Linked DNA regions of Struthio camelus. The protein of the gene in region 2 interacts with the protein of the main gene of each other region in a biochemical or structural test. Links are inferred from orthologs where the notes say so. Each region holds a gene or a part of one and is shown on either strand. Other genes may lie near its edges.

Region 1 (9,453 bases), on a different chromosome or scaffold from region 2:
CCATCCCCATCCCCGTCCCCATCCCCATTCCCATCCCGTCCCCATCCCCGTCCCTGTCCCATCCCCATCCCCGTCCCCGTCCCCATCCCATCCCCGTCCCCATCCCCATCCCCATCCCCGTCCCCATCCCATCCCCATCCCCGTCCCGTCCCCGGTCCTCACCACGCCCTCGGGATCCACCAGCAGCAGGTGCTTGGGCTGCCCGCCGTGCATGCCCGTCAGCACGTACTGCCCCGGGTTGGTGATGCTGTCCCGCACCAGGAAGTCACCGTCCATCTGCAGGAGCTTCTCGGCGTCCCGCCGGCTCATCTTCCCATGGTACCAGGGCTCCCGCTTGAGCTGCTCCTCCGTGGGGGCGACGGGGGCCTTGCGGGTGGGGGGGCTCGGCCAGCGGTCCTCGAAGGGGGGGCCGCCGCCGCCCCCCGCCAGGCACTCGTGCAGCTTCAGCGCGTCCTCGAAAGGCCCTGCGGGAGCCCGAGGGCAGCGGGGAGGGGGGGTCACGGCGCGGCACGGCCGGCCCCTGCCCTCCGCCGCGGCTGGAGCCCCCTCGGCCCCCGCCCCGCGGCCCCCGCCCCGGCCCGGGGCTCACGCATGTCGAAGAGGTCCTTTTTGGGGCTGTCCTGGGGGGCGCCGCGGGCCGCGGGCTCCGGCTCGCCGGCCTCCAGGCTCTGCGTGTTGACGTACATGTGCTGCTCGTAGTCGGGCGGCCCCGGGGGCTGCCCGTCCGCCTGCAGGTAGCCGTCGCCGGGCTGGCCTGCCGGGACGGGGCGTCAGCGGCCGCCCCGCCGCCCCGCCGCCCCCCGGGCCGGCCGCCCCGCCGCCGTACCCACCCTGCGCCTCCAGCCCCCACGGCGGTCCCGGCTGGCTGCTGGGCTCTCGTCGGGGGGAAAAGCCGCCCTGGGGAGAGGAGCAGAGCCGGGGGCGTCAGCAGGGCCCGGCGTCCGCGGGCCCCCCCAACCCCGCGCCGGACGCGGCAGCCCCCGGCTCACCTGGCCGGCGGGGCTGGCGCCGGGGGGCTGAGGGCGGACGTGGCCCGGCAGCGCGCCGTGCCGGAGCCGGCAGTCGACGAGCCCCCCCGGCGGCGGCTCCTTGCCCGGGATGCTGTTGTAGTAGTCGTGCTCGGCGGCGGCGTCCTCGTCGTCCCGCCACGCCGGCTCCTCCGCCGCCAGCGCCCTGCGCGGGGACGCACGGGGACGGGCGCACCCTGCCCCGTCCGACCCCCGCGCCCGTCCCGGCGGAGCCGGTGCCGGTGCCGGTGCCGGTGCCCTACCTGTCCGCGGGCGCCGCCGCCCGGGGCGGGCTGTGCAGGTACTGCTTGAAGCGCAGCTCGAAGGCCTGGCCCACCGTGCTGATGACGCTCTGCGCCAGCCCCTCGCAGCACTCCAGGATGTGGCAGGCTGCGGACGGACGGACGGGCGGACGGACGGAGGGACGGAGGCTCGGCCGCCCCCCTCCGCCGCGTCCCCCGCTCCGGCCCCGGCCCCCGGCTCAGCCCTCCTGCCCGCGCCCCCTCCCCGCCGCCCCGCGGGCTCCCGGGCGAGCGTCACCTCTCTGGTTGATGGGGTCCTTGGCGACGTAGGCCACGTAGTCGGTGGTGTCCTGGGGGCACGGAGGGGCGGTCAGGGCCGGGGCCGCCTCCGGAGCGCCGCGGGGCGCCCACCCCGCGCCTCGGCCCCGCTCCTCACCGCGTCCCCGCCGGAGGCGAAGGAGATGGACTGCATGTGGTGGTGGGCGACGATCTGCGGGGAGACGCGGCCCGGAGCGGGGTGAGCGCGGGGCCCCCCCGCCGCCGCCCGGCCGCCGCCTGGCCGCCGCTCCGCTCACCTGCCGCGTGCTGGGGATGCTGAGGTTGAGGCCGTCGACGGAGATGTTGACGGCGATGCTCATGCCGGCGAAGCGGAGGTTGCTCTTGCCCAGGATGGAGAAGAGCGCCTTGTTGGGGGCCTGGGGGCGACGGGGCGGCGCTGGGCTGAGCAGCCCCCCGGCCGGGTTTCTCGGGGCCAAGGAGGGCAGCGAGGCGCCGGGCACGGGGCGACCCGCGGGGAGGACCCCCGGCCCGGCTCGGCCCCGGGAAGCAGCCGCCGGCCGGGCTGGGAACTCACCTTCTTCTTCCAGATGCCCTTCACGCCCGGCACCGCCTCGTACAGTCTGTTGATGGCTTCCCTGCGAGCGCCGCGCCAGGGGGTCACGGCTGCACAGCCCCGGCCCCCCCGGCCCCCCGGTCCCCTGGGCACGGCCAGCCGCAGCCCCCCCCCCCGCCGTCCCCAATGTCACCGCTGCCGCGGGTGAATAATCCCGGCCGGAGCCGCCTCCCTTCTCCTCTTTCTGCTATCGATCGGCAGCAGGTGCCCTTCGCCGCGCCGCTCCCACGTCCCCAGCCCAGCACAAGGGTCCCCGATCGTGGCCCCGTCCCCGGCACAGCATGGGGGACCCCGTCCCCAGCACAGCACAAGGGTCCCTGACCACAGCCCCGGCCCTGGCACAGCAAAAGGGTCCCCGACTGTGGCCTCATCACCAGCATGGCACGGGGGTCCACAACCATGGCCTTGTCCCCAGCACAGTGCAGGGGTCCCTGTTCCCATCCCCAGCACAGTGCAGGGGCACCCAACCGTGGCCTCATCCCTGGCATGCCGCAGGGGTCCCCATCCCCATCTCTGGCACGGCACAGGGGTCCCCAACCATGGCATCATCACCAGCATGGTGCAGGGGTCCCCATCCCCATCCCCATCCCCATCCCCATCCCCATCCCCATCTCCATCCCCATCTCCATCTCCATCCTGGCGCAGGGTCCCCGACCGCGGCCCCGTCCCCCACCTCCCCGCAGGGAGGGAAGCCACTGCCGGGGCCGGCGGGGCGCGGGGCCCTCCCTACCTGGTGACCTGCGTGCGGGTGTTGAAGTCCAGGGACCGCATGGAGCGCAGCACCTCGATGCAGCCCATGTACTGCGGGGCGGCAGGAGGGGAGGGTGCTCAGAGCGGCCACCGGCGCGAAGGAGGGGAGCCGGGGCGGCGAGGGGGCGTCCCGAGACCCCGCGCCGGGGCTCGCCCCGATGCGCAGACGCCCAGCGGGGAGGCTCCGTCGCGCCCCCGAACCCGCGCTGAGACCCGGCACGCTCGTCTGCCTGCGAGGGGCTGGCTCCGGCCACGTCCCAGAGCTGCTCCCCCGGGCCGGGGAGCCCCCAGCCGGCCCAGCCGCCCTCCCCGCCGTGTGCCAGTGGCTTCACAGAGCTCGGCCGCCACGTGACGGGGAGAAAGGGCTGCGCGGATGGCGCCCGCCGCCGTGCCACCGGGCCTGCCCGCCCCGAGCATCGCCCCAGCCCGCAGCCGGCTGCCGCCTGCAGCGCCCGCGCGGGGCCACCCGCCCAGTCACCCTGCCGGCCAGCTCCCCTGCAGGCACGGCCCTTTGGCTGGAGGGAAACTGAGGCACGGCGGGGCCGTGGGGCAGGTGCGTCCTGGCAGAGCATCCCTGGGCTCTGCCTCGCTCCCCGGCCCCGAGCGTCCGCCCGGCCCCGAGCCGCGTGCAGGCTGGGCTGGTTCGGAGCCAGGCGCGTGGCCGCAGCACGGTGCAGCCTGCCAGCAGCCTTCGGCCCCGGAAACCATCGCCGCGGCCCCTGCGCCAAGCATGGAGCCCCCAGGAGGCTGGCGCGGAGCTCCCCAGCCGGGCAGCACCCGGTCCTGGGGCAACGGCACCGCTTGGCGCCGGGGGCTTCGCGCCTGCCCACCAGGACGCGGCCGCAGCCAGACTTACCCGGACGATGTAGGAGACGCCGGGTCCCAGCACCCGCTCGTCGGGATGGAGCCAGCCCTGCGCCGGCTTGCTGATGAAGCTGCCCTTGCGGGTCCACTCGTCGCCGGCCAGCTTGGCCCCCTCGACGCGGGCGGCCTTCCTGGCGGCCCCAGCCCCGCCGCGCAGCCGGCTCATCACCTGCAGCGAGCAGGGCGCCGAGCAGACGGGCTCGCAGGCGCTCAGCACGGCGGCCAGGCTGGAGGGGGGCCCCCCCGGCTCCGCGGGGCCCCCCGCCTTGGCCGGCGAGGAGAGCTCCTTGCTGGAGCCCGAAGGGCTGCGGCTGAGGAAGCCCGTGGGGCCGGGGAACTTCCACTGGGGCATCCTGGGGATGAGCATGCAGAAGGTGGTGACGGCCTCCTGCTCCTCGCCGAGCGGGGGACACGGGTGGGCCAGGGCCGGGGCCGCGCCGGCGGGCGAGGGGGCCGGCGACGGCATGGGGGCGGCCGGCGGGTGGCGCGGGGCGGCCGCGGCCGTCAGCGTGTCGTTGCGAAAGCGGTCATACTTGGGCTCCGGGAGCATGCCCCGCGCTGCGGCCGTGCCTCTGGAGCGGCTGCCTGGCGCGGCGCGCGCTGGCGGCGCGGCTGCCCGCGCCGGCCCCCACCCCCTGCCCGCTCCCCCGGGGCTGGCGGCGCGGTGATGTCATGGTGTGAGTGCTCGCCGGCCGGCAGGCTGCGCGCCCAAGGCCGCCCCGCGAGCATCCCTCCCACCCCGCGCGTCCCTCCCGCCCTGTGCGCGTCCCTCCCGCCCCATCAGCATCCCTCCAGCCGCGCAGCATCCCTCCCGCCCCATCAGCATCCCTCCAGCCGTGCAGCATCCCTCCCGCCCCATCAGCATCCCTCCAGCCGTGCAGCATCCCTCCTGCTTCATCAGCATCCCTCTGGCCCCACACACATCCCTCTAGCCCCACAAGCATCCCTCTAGCCATGCAAGTGTCCCTCCCGCCCCATCAGCATCCCTCCAGCCGTGCAGCATCCCTCCCGCCCCATCAGCATCCCTCCAGCCGTGCAGCATCCCTCCTGCTCTATCAGCATCCCTCCAGCCGTGCAGCATCCCTCCTGCCCCATCAGCATTCCTCCAGCCATGCAGCATCCCTCCTGCTTCATCAGCATCCCTCTGGCCCCACACACATCCCTCTAGCCCCACAAGCATCCCTCTAGCCATGCAAGTGTCCCTCCCACCCCATCAGCATCCCTCCAGCCGTGCAGCATCCCTCCCGCCCCATCAGCATCCCTCCAGCCGTGCAGCATCCCTCCCGCCCCATCAGCATTCCTCCAGCCATGCAGCATCCCTCCTGCTTCATCAGCATCCCTCTGGCCCCACACACATCCCTCTAGCCCCACAAGCATCCCTCTAGCCATGCAAGTGTCCCTCCCACCCCATCAGCATCCCTCCAGCCGTGCAGCATCCCTCCCGCCCCATCAGCATCTCTTCAGCTGTGCAGCATCCCTCCCGCCCCATCAGCATCCCTCCAGCCGTGCAGCATCCCTCCCGCCCCATCAGCATCCCTCCAGCCCCATCAGCATCCCTCTGACCCCATGAGCATCCCTCTGGCCCTGTGAGCATCCCTCCCACCCCACGCACATCCCTCCTGCCCCATCAGCATCCCTCTGGCCCCACGAGCATCCGTTAAGCTGTGCAAGCATCCCTCCCACCCCACGCACATGCCTTTGGCACCACACGCATCCCTCCTGCCATGCAAGCATCCTTCCTGGCCCATGAGCATCCCTCCAGCCCCACTGCCCCCTGAGCCCTTGACTCTGCAGGGAAGGGGCGACAGAGCCCCAGGGAAGGGCAGAAACAGTCCCTGCACCGGATCCCTTCTGAGGAGGGCAGGGGACATGCCTCGACCCCCGAAGCTGGGAGATGGAGGCCAGCGGGGTTTTCCCTGCACGGCCTGGGGTACCCGTGCTGTCCCGGCAGAGCCCCAGGCACGGCCTTGCAGCCCCCCAGGCCTCGGGGGTGCCCCGCCACGTCCGCACACCCTCCGCATGCACAGCCCCATGGGGACAGAGCTGCACGGCGCTGCCTGCCCCGCGCCCCGCTCCCAGCCAGCTCGCCGCGGCCATGGCCGAGCGGAGCCCCTGGCCGGGGCCGGCCGCTGCCCCACGGTGCCCGGCTTTGCAGCAGGTGCTGCAGGGTTAACGGGCTCGGAGCCTCCCGGGTGACGTGGAGCCGGGGAGAGCTACTGCCTGCCCGCTGGGAGCCATAAAGCGTGATGCATGGTCTCCTCTGCAGCTCCCGCTTGCAATTAGCTTGAGTGGCGAGGAGGCAGCTCCTGAAGGGCCAGCAGCCCCCAGCCCCTGCCCTCTCCTGCGCCTGGGATGTTTTCTCCTCTTTTCCGTGTCTCCAGCATCGGGAAATGTTTGCAGGGAGCCTGGGGCTGGCTTTGCAAGGCTCCGCCGCGCAGTGGGGCTGGCCTATTTCTCTGCCTCCCAACCCAGTGGTCTCGTTCACGCCGAGTTTGTCTGCCTCCAAAGCCAGGCCTGTCTCTTGCATGTTTATATCTGTCTGGAGGGCGCTGCCGGTAAAAAGCACAATCATTTTCTTGCTTCTCTGCCAGTATCTGCAGCAAGCAAAGAAAAAACCTTGCAGGGACTTTCTGAGCTCAGAACAATCCCGCTAACGCTCTCCCTCTCCAGACCTGGGGCTGTCTCTTTTTTCCAGGGGTGGAAAGGACTCCGGCCTCCTGTCGAGCCCAGGCCATGCCGCCCGAGCCCCCACCAGCGGCTCGGGGAGGTCCGGGCTGTGCCCCCTGCAGCCCCATGCCCAGAGCGGAGCTGGTCCCACCGGAGCTGCCGGCAGCCGCGTGGGCAGGGGTGGGCGCCAGCCCCGCCAGTGTGAGGCGACGGGATGTTGCAGCCCCACGGGGCAGTCGTGCCCCCTCGCAGCCCACCCCGCTCCCCGGTATTCCCTCTGCCGTGTCGGGCAGCGCGGCCACCGGCGTCCTGCCTCCTCCGTGCCGGCTCCCGCGCCCGGCAGGTGAGGGGGGGGACGCCAGTAATTGCTCTAAGTGCAATCAATAAATCACGGTAATAGAATTACATTTGCTATTGCCGTATTAGGAACCGCTTCTCTTCTCCCAGCCTCTCGCTGCTCTCCTCGGTTTTGTTTTTAAACAGCCGCAAAGCCCCGGGTTGGGCTCCTCGGTGCTGCCGTCGCGGCGCCAGCCGGGATGGGGGTGAGCGGCCGGTCCCCGCGCCGCGCTCGCCCCACGTCCCGCTGCCCCGCGGCGCTGCGAGCCGCTCTCCTCCCTTGCACCAGTCCCCGGGGGCCAAGGGATTATTTTCATCTCGTTCGCAGCCGGTCTCAGACTCTGGACGCTTAGCTGCACGTCGACGGCTTTCCCCTGCCTGTTTTTAACCACGACCTAAAGGAAAGCCCGCGAGAGCGAAGCCCGGGGGGCAGCGGGGCGCGCGGCAGCCCCCGCGGCCGGGCCGAGCGGGGCCGGGCGATCCCCCCTCCCCGGGAGCCCGCGCTTCTGCTGCAGCGCGGGGCGATTCCCGGGGCCGCTGGACTGCACCCCGGCTCTCCCCGGCGGTGGGCGATTTGCATAACCGTTCTGAACCGTGCTAATTAATCTCCTTACACCTCTGGCGCTGCACGAGGGGAATCGACATCAAGTGCTCTCAAGCCCACGAAGGATTAATTAGGAGAGGAGAGCAGGCGCGTGCACGGCCGAGCACACGTGTGACGAGCTGTCAGTGCTGAGCTCCCGGGACCAGGCGGCCTCGAGCCCTCCTGCCCCACGGCATGGCCGCCTCTTTCTCCAAATTTCTCCCCCTGGCAGCCAGGCTGGGAGGGAAAAGGCCTCGAACCCTCCCGGGAGGCATCGGGCTGCAGCCACCCCGACCGAAGGTGGCCGAGAGGGGACGGATGCAGCCGGCTGCCGCCGAGCGGGGCTGCGGGGGCGACGGTCCGGGCGAGGAGCCCCGTGCCAGCACGCTCCCCTCTGCTCCCGCAGCCGCGGCCCCGCTGGGGCCGGGTGCCAGCGCCTCTCCCCAGCCCCCCCGGCAGCCACTCTCGCCGCTGCCTCGGCCTCGGCCACCCCGGCGGGGCGGGAGGCAGACGCGCGGGGGCCACAGCGTGCTGCCGCTTTATTTATTGCAGGTCCCCGGGCTGCAAAGGGGAACCCAGCCCGGCCCGTCGGCCGGCGAAGGCCAGCAGGCGCGATGCATCGCCGAGCAGGCGGCCGGCGATGGCAGCCCCGCTGCGCCCGCTGCTCCCCGCTCCCGCGGCCAGGGGCCATCCCAGCGCGAGGATGCCCGCGGGGAGCCCGGGCTCGCTCCTGCCGGTCCAGGGCCTCGGGGCCGCGACGGTACAAGCTGGCGGGGAGCTGGCGAGGGGCCGGGAGACGGTGGCGCCGGGGCTGGAGGGCCGGTGGGGGCCGCAGCAGCCCCCCAGGCGGCGGGCTGGGGCCGGGGTTCAGCCCCGCGGGTGCCCGCACCGCACCACCGGCCTCAGCCCCAGGCGGCTCTCAAAGGAGCTGGACGGAGCTGGGGGGCCGGGGTGGCTCGGGGCGCAGCAGGGCCGGGACCCCCCGCTCCAGCCCCCCGCGAGCCCCGGGTGCCCCGAGGGCCACGCTGCCCTGCAAACGCCGCCCTCCCTCCTTTGCGACCCGCTCCGAGCGCGGGGCGGAGGAGCGCCCGAGCTCGGAGCCTGTACGAAAGCCGGGAAAAGCCGCTCCCGCAGCCCCCGGGGCCGCAGGAGCCCGGCGCCGCCGCCGGCCGGGCCAGACCCGCAAGGGGAGGTGGGCTGGGGACGGGAGGACGGGCAGCTTGTCCTGCGCGGGGCTGAGCAGGGAAGAAAGGTGTATCGATTGTAATTACGAATGCTCTGCATTTCGAGGACAATGCGCTCTGGCTTTTTAGTGCAAGCTGCTGGCCTGACCTCAGCCATAAATAGCGGCGGGGGCTGCCTCCCCCCGCCGAGCTCGCAGGGAGGGAAGAGGCCGGTTCAGAGCTGCCGTTTGCCAGCGGCTGCTTCCTTGGGCTTGCTGGCAGGAGCGAGACAGCACAAAGGATCCACGCGCAGTTTCGTTCTCCTGGACACAGGGGAAGACACAAACACATGCAGCCCACATCACATATACAGAAAAGATGTGGGACACATGCTGCTCCGTGCTTCCCTCCACCTGAGAAGGAACATGTGCATGCAAAAAACACACATTTCCAGGGGCTGTGTTTGTACACGCCGGACGGAGAACAGGGCTTTGCATGCTTTGGGATGGGGACGCAACCGTGTGCTGCCAGGATGCGTGCGTGGACTCGTGCGTGCGTGCGTGCATGGTGCGCGCAATGCCCTGCGCCAGGAAGGCAGGAGGGGGCTGAGCCACTGCTTTTGCTTCAATAACCCCCCTTAACTGACTAGCGCCATCGAGTCTCTGGTGGAAGGAGTACGCGGGGGCGGTTAGCCGGGTGTAGTCGTGGTTAAGGAATCCCAGTGTAGGAGGCAGGTTGTACCGTCCTGGACCAGGGCCTGGCAAGAAGCAGCAGACAGGCAGGGTGGAGGCACCCCACGGGGCCGTGGACCAGGCCGCCTGGGCTCTGGGGCGGCCGAGGCACGCTGCCGGGGAGCTGAGAGCAGGACGCGGCCAGGACACCTGGGTCCTCTCTCCTGAGCGGGTGCACACTACAAAGGGCTAAAAAGTGAGAACCCATCCACTACTTC
Region 2 (9,691 bases):
ACCTTCCGTTTATAGCTGGACATAGCCTAATGTATGTGATATGTCTGCAGATTCCAGCAAAGGTGTTAACATTGCTGGCATACTCTGAAAACAGGTAAAAGGATCATTCAGCTCTCTGCCTTTAGGCAACTCTATCTGAAAATAAGTGGGTTTTTTTGCTTTATCATTCCTATTCCCATGCCTGTTCTCACCTAGGACAGTGATTTTATCTCTGACTGGAACAATAAATTTAGTCCTTTGAATACAGTGTTTGCAATACCACTTGCAAACCAATAGATTTTCTGGGGCCTACGTATGTGGTATGTGACATGCTGAATGTATTTCTGCTTTTGCACGTGTTCTCTATGAAAAGCGATGGCATTCAATATTAAATGACTGCCATCTTATTTTCTTCTGTTTGTGGGATCTTAAGTGTGCTTCCATGTCTGCCTTAGCAATGTTTATCAGCGTAGCTGTGCCAGTAAAGCATGCCTAATGAAACTATAATAAAGCCATACTGCCTGGCTCCAGTGCTTGTTGCAGCAGTGGTATCTGCAGTGGGTAACTTCCAAGCTAGGTTGATTGCACATAGTTACATCCGTGTACAAGCTGCGTTAAAGCACCTGAAACGCTCCTTGAGCTCCTATCTGCTCCTTGAAGCAGATATCTAATTTTTTTAGCTTCCCCAAGAACTCTCATAGCTACTACCCACAGCCACATACTTCCACCCACCCCTTTTTTAGATGCTTGAGACCCTAGCAGCCCCAGCTGTGGCATGAAGGAGTGACTGCCAGCCGATCTGGCCACTGGCTGCACCATCCCAGATGCGTTCTGCAAGGGACTTCGTAGCCTGCCCAGTTGGCTTTCACTAGGTCTCATCCAGCATTAATTCAGCAGCTGTAACTGGCAATGCTTTTCTGTCTTCTGTGAATATGGAGGTATTTTGCTGAGGGGTAAAGAAGGATTGCACAGCAACTGTGTTTCCCCACAGCCAGTCTTCACTTCTGTGGGTTAATTTGCTTCCTTCCTCTCCATGCAGTGAACGTGTGTGTGTGTTTATGCGTGGTGAGGACGAGCATGTTTGCTCTCTGTTGCTACTACAGGTACTAGCAGAAGAGAAAATGGGAATAATATTAAAGGTAGTGGTGCTATCAGTGTTCCTTTCTAAATGAAAGGCCTTCACTGAGCAGTTGCGCACCTTAGGCTGCCAGGGACCATTTACAAACCTATTCAACTGCTGCAGCAAGGAAGAGCATAATCGGTGTTCCCAGTGCCAGCCCTTATCTCCCCCCAGGTTGTTATTTGAATAATTAAGCAAACAAAAGGCTGCCTGTCTGCCCCTGCTGCTGCAGTTGTCCTGGCTGGGCTCTGCAGGCAGCCGGGAGATGCTGGTGGGAGTGAGCAAGCGTGGGGGAGTCGTGACAAGCCGGGGAGGAGAGGGAAGGGGGAGTGATGGGGAGCTGCCAGTCTCTTGTCCTGCTTCTTTGTGTCTTGTTTTTAATGAGCTTTTGGCGACCAGAGGAGCAGATGCATAAACAAAAGTTTGCTGGCCTTGTTTGGCCAAGGCACGACTTCGTGCCCCCTCCTGTCATACAGATCGTTCCCAGTGATTGTGTCACGGAAACAGAGCTTCCCTCCTTGGGGGGCTGCAGGCAAAGAGGCTAACGAGGGCTGAAAACAAACTCGAAGGAGGGTTGCTGTCACTCTCCATCTCAAGGTGTAGGCAAGGGGTTTAAGAACTAAGCCTCTAAGGGGCTTTGGAAGATGCTGTATTAGCAGGGAATTGATCTGACTAAATGTACAGGAATCATGCTGGCTGAGTGTATCCCACCCATTAGATATCAGCTCTCCTGCAAATCTCCAGATCCAGTCCCGAGCCAGACCAAGACTCACGCAGTGTGGTAGGAAGGCTGGGTGTTTGGGGAGCTCATGCCAGCCCTGCATTCTTTACTGGAATTGTCTGGCCAAGACAGCGGCAGGCTTTTCTGACTAAGCCAGTCCTCAAAAGTCTTGAAGGGATTGTTTGTCATTTAAGGCAGGTGAGGGTGTTGAGCCTAAGGGTAGGTGTAGCATTAGAAGCTATTTCATGTTGTTTTGAGGATCCCAGGAAGAAACAAGATTCCCAGATTGAAACAGTCTCTGAGGAGGGAGGAAATCTCACCATTTTATTCATTCAGTAGTCTGGATTATGATTCTCGTATTTGGATTCTTTCACTTGCGCCACATGGTTCAGCGCCGGTAATCTCTGGTGAAAGCCAGGCTACATTTGATATCCTACAAGGCTAAAGGAAGGCAGAAAGGCTGCACAGAGCTTATAGCCTAAAAGACTGGATATGAAAGTTGCCATCACTTGAATCACTGGGATTTTGGTTTTGTAAACTGTGCCCCTTTGCCCCTCAACCTTGCAGCCATCTGTTGCCTAATATCCCACAGCTATCCCAGTAGCAGTGTATCACAGTAGCAGTGTATTTAGATCAGTCTTTCAGTTAGATGATAGGTAACTGTCTCTCCTGTGCTTCGGTCCATTCTTCTCTCAGAGGTTTCCCATGGTGTCTTCCAGTGACAACCCTCTTGAGAAAGCCACAACAAAGTTCAAAATATAAAAATCAGTGTAGCAAAGCACATATGATACCGTATACTCTGTGTCAGTAAAGTCATTTCACATCTTTTTTAGCTCTTGCTTTCCTTGTACACCTACCATTTCCAATGAGTATTGACCATAGTTTTTACTTGATATTATTAGAGGATTAGTCCAATGCACACTATGCATGTAAATAAATTCATTCACATGAAAAGCCCTACATCAGTAAAATGACTCTCCAGAGTAAATTTCCTCTTATGTTTAAATGTCTGCAGGGCTGGGAGTTCATTCAAATATCTGGAGTGTAAGGACTTGTCTTCTACTTCATTCATATCACAAATTTCTCTGATACGCTAGGGACAGTAATGAATACAGTGAAGCAGCAGCTTCTATAGCATAATTCTAGTTAACAAGCTTAAACTGACAGCCAGGCAAAGGACTGAAGGATTGTACTTCCATTTACAGGGTAAAGACGGAGATTTCAGTGGGATCACTAAGGGAGATAAGTACTGCTCAGAATGGATAAAAAGGGTAGATTCTGATCTGGAGCAGTACAGCCAACATATGGTCTGCAGGCGAGGTTTTTTTGTTTGTTTGCTTGTTTTTAATTTTTTGTCTGACTACGTGCTTCTGGACTACACACTTCTCTGTGGATACCTGACATTCATAACTTGCACGCTCCTCACTGCTGGCTGTTCAGCTAGGTGTGTGCATTGACTAGCCTGGAGGTTCGTGTGTCCGCTGTCCTTTCCTCCCCTTCCCTTCCCCAGGAAACTGCAGAGAAAGGAGGCAGGGGATGTAATGATCCCCAAGGGACAAGGAGGGCTAACTTCTAGTGGGCCATTACTGGGAAACTGAAGTCTGCAGTGTTCTGTCTCTCCTCCAACCTGCTGCTCATCTGAGTTGTGCCATCCTGGTGTAAAATGAATTTTACCTTCTTCTCTTTGCTGCCTTTGGGCATGTTACAGAAGTACAGAACATTCTGCGGTCTTCACTTAAGAGGCACCAGACTTGGAAAAGGAGATGTAGGAAGTATTGGGGTGCATTTGCAAGTTTGACTGAAGAAGAAGTCACGTATCCCTGCTTAGGTAGCCTCAGGGCAAGCAGTGGATATTTATTATTTTGGATATTTGGATATTTGCTTGGATTTGTTTGCAAGTTTAGATATTTGTTATTTGCACAAAGCTCAGATGCCAAGATCGTTTTCAGCAACGAAACCAACCACCCCACTCCAGTCCCCTGACATAATAGCAATAATTATGCTTGAAAAGAGGCCATAAATGGAATTACAGTAAGCTATATTTGTGTATTGTCTAACTAAGTCTCAGAAAAGTCATTTGCTAAAATCAGTATAGTGGCATATTTTCTACAGACTGCATTTTTGGAAGTTTATATATGAGTATAGAAAGCAGTAAAGTGAGGTACGAGTGATTGTCCTGTGTTCCATGGATCCCATAGTATGTTCATTTGAACATTTTTCAACTTATCCCTATAATTTCATTAGCTTTGTTAACGAGCTAAACTGCTTTGGAGGAAAACAGTTCTGGCAGGTTTATCATCTCTAATAAAAATGTTGTTCTTGGTAGTCAAAAACGACAGAAACAGCAGCACCACAAATGAAGTTATCAAAAGTGGCTCTTTAACAGTAGGTGGCTTTGGTTCTCACTAAGTATTTATCACTTCTACATAAACGTAAACCTCATATGCAGCCTAGCCATAGTCTCAGCAAGGGACAGTTGTTTAGTTGAGAGACACCACTGACCCAACCTACAATATGATGGAGATAGATGAGGGCTACCAATTTGCTGGTTTAAGAGCTCATAAGAATAGCAGTAACACATTTTATCTGCACGATGCCCACTTGCCACTTTTTGGGCCATATGATTCTTCTCTGACTTTTCATGGAGTTTATTTGGTTTCTGGGAAAAAATTAGTACAGAAATTTGGCTTCTCCCAGTCCTTGTATTTTTCTGTGATCAACAGGGGTGTTTCAAAGGAAATTACGCTGATTCCCAAGTACAGTAAACCAGCTGGAATTGCACAGCATGCAAAATAAAATCACTGCTTCGTTAACTTATTCATTTGTGGACAGGCTCACATGCAGATCTGCAGGTAAAGAGAAAACTGTAGTATGCAGATATGTATGTACATGCATGCATGCAGTTATGTATATAGCTATGTTGTTTCTGTCCATTTTCCTACTTAGATGGCTACTTATCTATCTACCCACCTATTTTATCTATCTGTCTACCTATTCTATCTATCTGTCTATCTCTCCACCTACCTACCTACCCATTTGTTACTGCAGATGTATTTGTTTCCCCCCTGAGGCTGTAGATTTATGTGTATGGATAAAGCATTTATGACCATGTATTTATTTTCCCAGAAGGACTGCTTCATGAACTTGTCTTTCAACAGTGGCTTGGTTAATAATTTCGATTAAAAAGTACAATTCTAGTTGGGGATGGGGGTTAATTTTTTTTTGGGGGGGGGGGGGGATGAAACCTGCAGTATGAAAGGGGAATCAGTACCGCAGCTGGTATTGATACCTGGGGAAAGAGTACTGGATTTGGCTGTTGGAGGAAAAGGGTGGAAAGGATGAATCTTACGAGAAGTTGCCGGATTCTGCTGGACGTGATTTAGTCAGTTAAACTGATGGATACGTGTCACACGCGCCGAGAAGATGCACCTGACTGAGGGACTTTCAAGTTGTCCTGCAAACGCAGGTCTTCCTATGGTCAGAGACGTAAAAGCTCGGGTGGATAAAGTCAAGGGGCAGCAGGAGAAGAACCGTGTCTTCCTGCACGTGCCTCAGGAAGAACCCTGTCACGCGAGGTCCCACCGGCCACCCCGACAACGTCTCCTCGCCCGCCCGGCCCAGGCCGCCAACGGCCCAACCGTCCCTCCGGCCAACGGCCGCCGGGGACGGGGCGGGGCGGCGGCGGCGAGGCCCCGCCCCCAGCCCGAGGGGACGGGACGGGGCGGGGCGGGGCCGGCGGCGCTCGCCGGGGTCCCGCATCCCGCGGCGCGGCGCGGAGCGGCTCCTGCCCCGGCCCCTGCCGCTGCCACTGCCCCGACGTCGCTCCGCGCTCGGCAGCGCCCGCAGCTGAAGCCGCCCCCGGCTGGCGGGAGGGCCCGGCGGCCGCGGCATGGAGCTCGGCGCGGCGTTGGTGCTGGTGGCCGCGCTGTGCTTGGCGCCCGGTAAGCGGCACCCGTCGGGGCGCCCCGCAAAGGGCGGTTGGGGGGAGGGGGGGCGGCCGCGGAGCCGTTGCGCTGCTGCGGCCCCGCGGGGTGTCGAGGAGGGGGGCTCGGCCGGGCGGCCGCGGGCCTGCAGCCCGGCGGGGAAGGGCTGTGCCCGGCGGTGCTGATGAGCAACGGTGCGGCTCGGCTGAGGGGCAGCCGTCGGCTGGGCTGCGGGTCCGCGGCGGGAGCCCCAGCCCGGGGCTGTCATCGGCCGCCCTTGGTTAAACCGCGGGGACGCGCGAGGGGAAGGGCAGGGAAAGAGTTAAGGCCTGGCCCGGCCGTCTTGTCACCCGCGGCGGCTGGCCGCGCTGTGCCGGTGGGGAGTCCTGGTCCTGCGCCGGTGGGGCAGGATTCCTGGCGGGAGCGCGGCCTGAAAACCTCTGGCTGTGTTCCTCGCAAGCCTTGCGCAACCTGGACTGTGTTGCCTCAGAGCGAGCATCGGCGCTGAAATCGCAGCCTTCGCGAGCGCAGGTGGCTCGGCGCGAGCCTGATGCAACCCTGGCGTGAAGAGAGCTCGAGGGTAATGGGTTTTGCCCGGCTGCTTAGGAAGAGAGGGGCAACGTGAGAAAAACATGGTAAAGAAGAGCAGTGCTGGGCTCATGAGACCTTGACTTTGTGGCAAACTGTGCAAAGGAATTCTTCACTGAATTCCTTAATCAGCAGGCTCAAAGAATATAAATATATGCAATTTATTATAAGAAAAGCTGGTGATCCCTTTCCCCAGGGAGTGAGATCATCAGATGAAGGTTCGCTTTATTTCAATGTCCAACATCCTCTTGTTAGACCTTGAATCTGGCAATGCAAAAAAACAGGAACTCCACCCTGGCTCGATGAATTGTAGTGCTCTGCAGCTAGGTCCTGACCATCTGCCTTTTCTTCCTGTTATGACAGAGTTTTTGAACTTTGTGATGTGTGAAAAGTCATTATTTACCGCTACACTGCTAAGCAGATGATGTGAAAGTGTCCACTTAAAACATGTAGCATCTACTTGTATGTGATGCTTTTCTGATTGAGCAGCATTTACTTTTATCTTGTAATTGCTTTGACTGGAGGTTTTTCATACATATTTTTGCAGGTTTATTTACTTCTCTGGATCAGCCAAGCCTTAGCATCCAAAAAGATGTCCTCACAATAACTGCAAATGCTACTCTAAATATTACTTGCAGGTAAGGGCAAATCTGGCCAGTATGCTTTTGATGGGGGTTACTTATGCAGCCTTTTTTTGTACAGAATTACAGATGACTCTTTCTCTCTCTCCTTTCATCTCTCCCGTTTCTCTCCCCTCCCTTTGTAATTCTCCCTTCCCCTGTGCTTTTCCCTGATGGGCTTTAGAAATGATCTTAAAGGGTTACAGTAACGGAGGATCACTGAAGAAAGGTACAGCAGCAGGCTAGCCAATGGGCATGACATAAAAAGTGCTTCAGAGTAGCTTTGGTCTAGTCCCGACTACTACCCTGTGAGAGGAGCTGGGAAGTGCAAGGAGACGCGGCATTAGCTGGATCCTTGCAGGGTGTGCTGGGGAGTGAGGCTCTCGCCCCTCCCTTTTAGGATCTGTGTTACTTCGATTTGCCATCACTGAATTCTCAAAATGAAATAGCTTCCACGTAGGTATTAGTAATAGCTTGGTTTGTGTGAATTTGTCATATGGGACTTGACAATCCATGCTACGTAATGAAGCCAATTCCTTTTTGTACCTGTAGAGACTAGCAGAACTGAGTTTTACCAGCTTGGCAACCGTACTGATACCCATCACGTGCTAATGCTTCTCTAACATTTGCTTTCCTAGTGGTCAGAGAGCTCTGGACTGGTTCTGGCCGAACAATCAGAGCAGTGCTGAGAAGCGTATCGCTGTGACAAACTGTAGTGATGGCCCCTACTGTAAGATGCTTACTCTCCTAAAAGTAATAGGCAATGACACAGGAGACTACAGGTGCCTTTACAGGGACAGCCAGGCAGCTACAACCATTTATGTCTATGTTCAAGGTAAGTGCTTACACAGTTCATATGTGACTCCCACCTCTCTGCAAAATGAAAAGGGGTATTAAGCGTCTCAAAATGATTTTGGCATTAAAATTTCTAAATCCCAAAATTTTTAGTCCTATGAAACTATTATTTTTCCTACCCATTTTCATGCTAAGTAGTTACATGCCAATATGCTCGCTGCCTTCAATAGAAAAAGCTGTGTGCTTGTAATTTTAAATTAACCTTCCATGTACGGTACTTAGTCTACTTTTCTCCTCTGCCCAGAACTTAGCCTGCATATATCTCTACTGTGCTCTCAGCCTGTCCTCATGATTGCAGAGCTATTACTGAAGTCAGTAGGAGTTTCCTACAAGGGAGGATTATAGAGGTCGTATGTATTTTTTAAAATAGACGTATCACCCTGCCTTTTACCATTTGTACTAACTGATGCTGTTCAAACAAATTAAACCGTGAGCTTCCGTGCATTGGTTGACTATAGGAGTAAAAGCTGAGTTTCAGACTCAGGCTATCAGTTCTGTTGATAGAAATGCTGAAGAGCATGGCAGCTGCTGCAAAGCCTTCAGTTATACATTCAGCTTAAGAAGGTGCATACACTAAGGCATCTCCCTTTTTTGCACTTGCGTTGGTACCCATGTTCTTGTGCGTCCTATTTCCTTTTTATTCTAACTTGTGGTTAGCATTTTTAACAATGGGGTGTTGTTATATACATGAGCTAGCTTGTTCTATAAGATCATGAGCTCTCTTTTTTTTTTTGACTGACTCTGAAAAGGACCCTGCTGTTTTGGGGGCTGTTTAGCGTGTCACTACTTTAACTGATATTTCCTGTAATACTTATGCAAGCAAAGTTATACTAGGGTAAATCAGATTTTTGCCTGCACAAAGAGTGCCGTGGCAGGAAGCTATTCTCTGAAGTACGTACTCCTGCTGATAACTGTTTTGAGAATAATAGTATTGTAAAACTGGGTGGCTGTCAAAACATAGCCCTCCCTTTATTCTCATCATTTGAGTGTTTTGCCAGGTAGAAAGAAATAAAACTGATTTGAGAAGGAATAAACAGAGAAAGAAAAAAATGGAAAAAGTTTGCTCCCAAATCACTTGACAAATAATATCTATTTACCAACCAAATGTTCTTCTAGATTACAGATCTCCATTTGTGACTTCAGTTAGTGATCAACTCGGCATTGTATACATCACTAAGAATAAAACAGTGGTAGTACCATGCCTTGGAACTGTATCAAATCTCAATGTATCTCTACATGCGGTAAGGAAAAAGCCCATTATTGTTTTAAGAGTTAGTTAAAGTCAATATGATTATACTTCAAATGATGGAGTATTTAAATATGTTTCTTAAAAAACTATTTTTCTCTGTGGGAATTTTAGAGCTATGATTAGAAGGTGAGCGCGGTAACTATACTCATCCGTGCTCCTGCACTCTGCAAATACACATTCATTGTCTATGAAAAGAAGATTGCTTGAGCTAAGATGTTAAAAGTAGGCTTATGCTGTTACGGAAGATATTGGACTTAAAACTTTGGGACTGCTTGATTTTTGGAATTTGATTATATTTTTTATCAATGTTTCAAACAGAAATATCCAGAGAAGATATTTGTTCCTGATGGTAAATCAATTTCATGGAATAATAAAAAAGGCTTCACTATACCCAGTCATTTAATCAACTATGCAGGCATGGTCTTCTGTGAAGCTAAAATAGATGATGAAAGCTACCAGTCTGTGATATACATAGTCGCAGTTGTAGGTAAGGCAAAGATTTTTCCCTATAGCCCATGTTGTTTTGCTTGATACAACATACTGAACCAACTACGGTTTGTTAGACTGTAGGTTGTTCAGCACTGACAATGCAGCTAATGCAAAATGGGTGTTGTGATATATGTTACTTTTCTTTTA

The links.
Region 1: the proteins of KDR (region 2) and SHC2 form a complex in vitro, tested with the Homo sapiens proteins (2 studies listed by BioGRID). The link is inferred for Struthio camelus from reciprocal best matches to the Homo sapiens genes KDR and SHC2.

Annotation. Positions count from the first base shown.
Region 1 is NC_090967.1:7,689,941-7,699,393, reverse strand, and holds the start of SHC2 (SHC-transforming protein 2), read right to left. Parts: upstream 4,312-9,453; 5' UTR 4,306-4,311; coding exon 3,748-4,305; intron 2,943-3,747; coding exon 2,872-2,942; intron 2,164-2,871; coding exon 2,103-2,163; intron 1,945-2,102; coding exon 1,825-1,944; intron 1,740-1,824; coding exon 1,686-1,739; intron 1,600-1,685; coding exon 1,548-1,599; intron 1,398-1,547; coding exon 1,271-1,397; intron 1,174-1,270; coding exon 990-1,173; intron 898-989; coding exon 831-897; intron 755-830; coding exon 590-754; intron 465-589; coding exon 163-464; intron 1-162. UniProt on the Homo sapiens protein: Signaling adapter that couples activated growth factor receptors to signaling pathway in neurons. Involved in the signal transduction pathways of neurotrophin-activated Trk receptors in cortical neurons.
Region 2 is NC_090945.1:56,669,462-56,679,152, forward strand, and holds the start of KDR (vascular endothelial growth factor receptor 2), read left to right. Parts: upstream 1-5,548; 5' UTR 5,549-5,709; coding exon 5,710-5,761; intron 5,762-6,878; coding exon 6,879-6,969; intron 6,970-7,589; coding exon 7,590-7,786; intron 7,787-8,922; coding exon 8,923-9,047; intron 9,048-9,373; coding exon 9,374-9,542; intron 9,543-9,691. UniProt on the Homo sapiens protein: Tyrosine-protein kinase that acts as a cell-surface receptor for VEGFA, VEGFC and VEGFD. Plays an essential role in the regulation of angiogenesis, vascular development, vascular permeability, and embryonic hematopoiesis.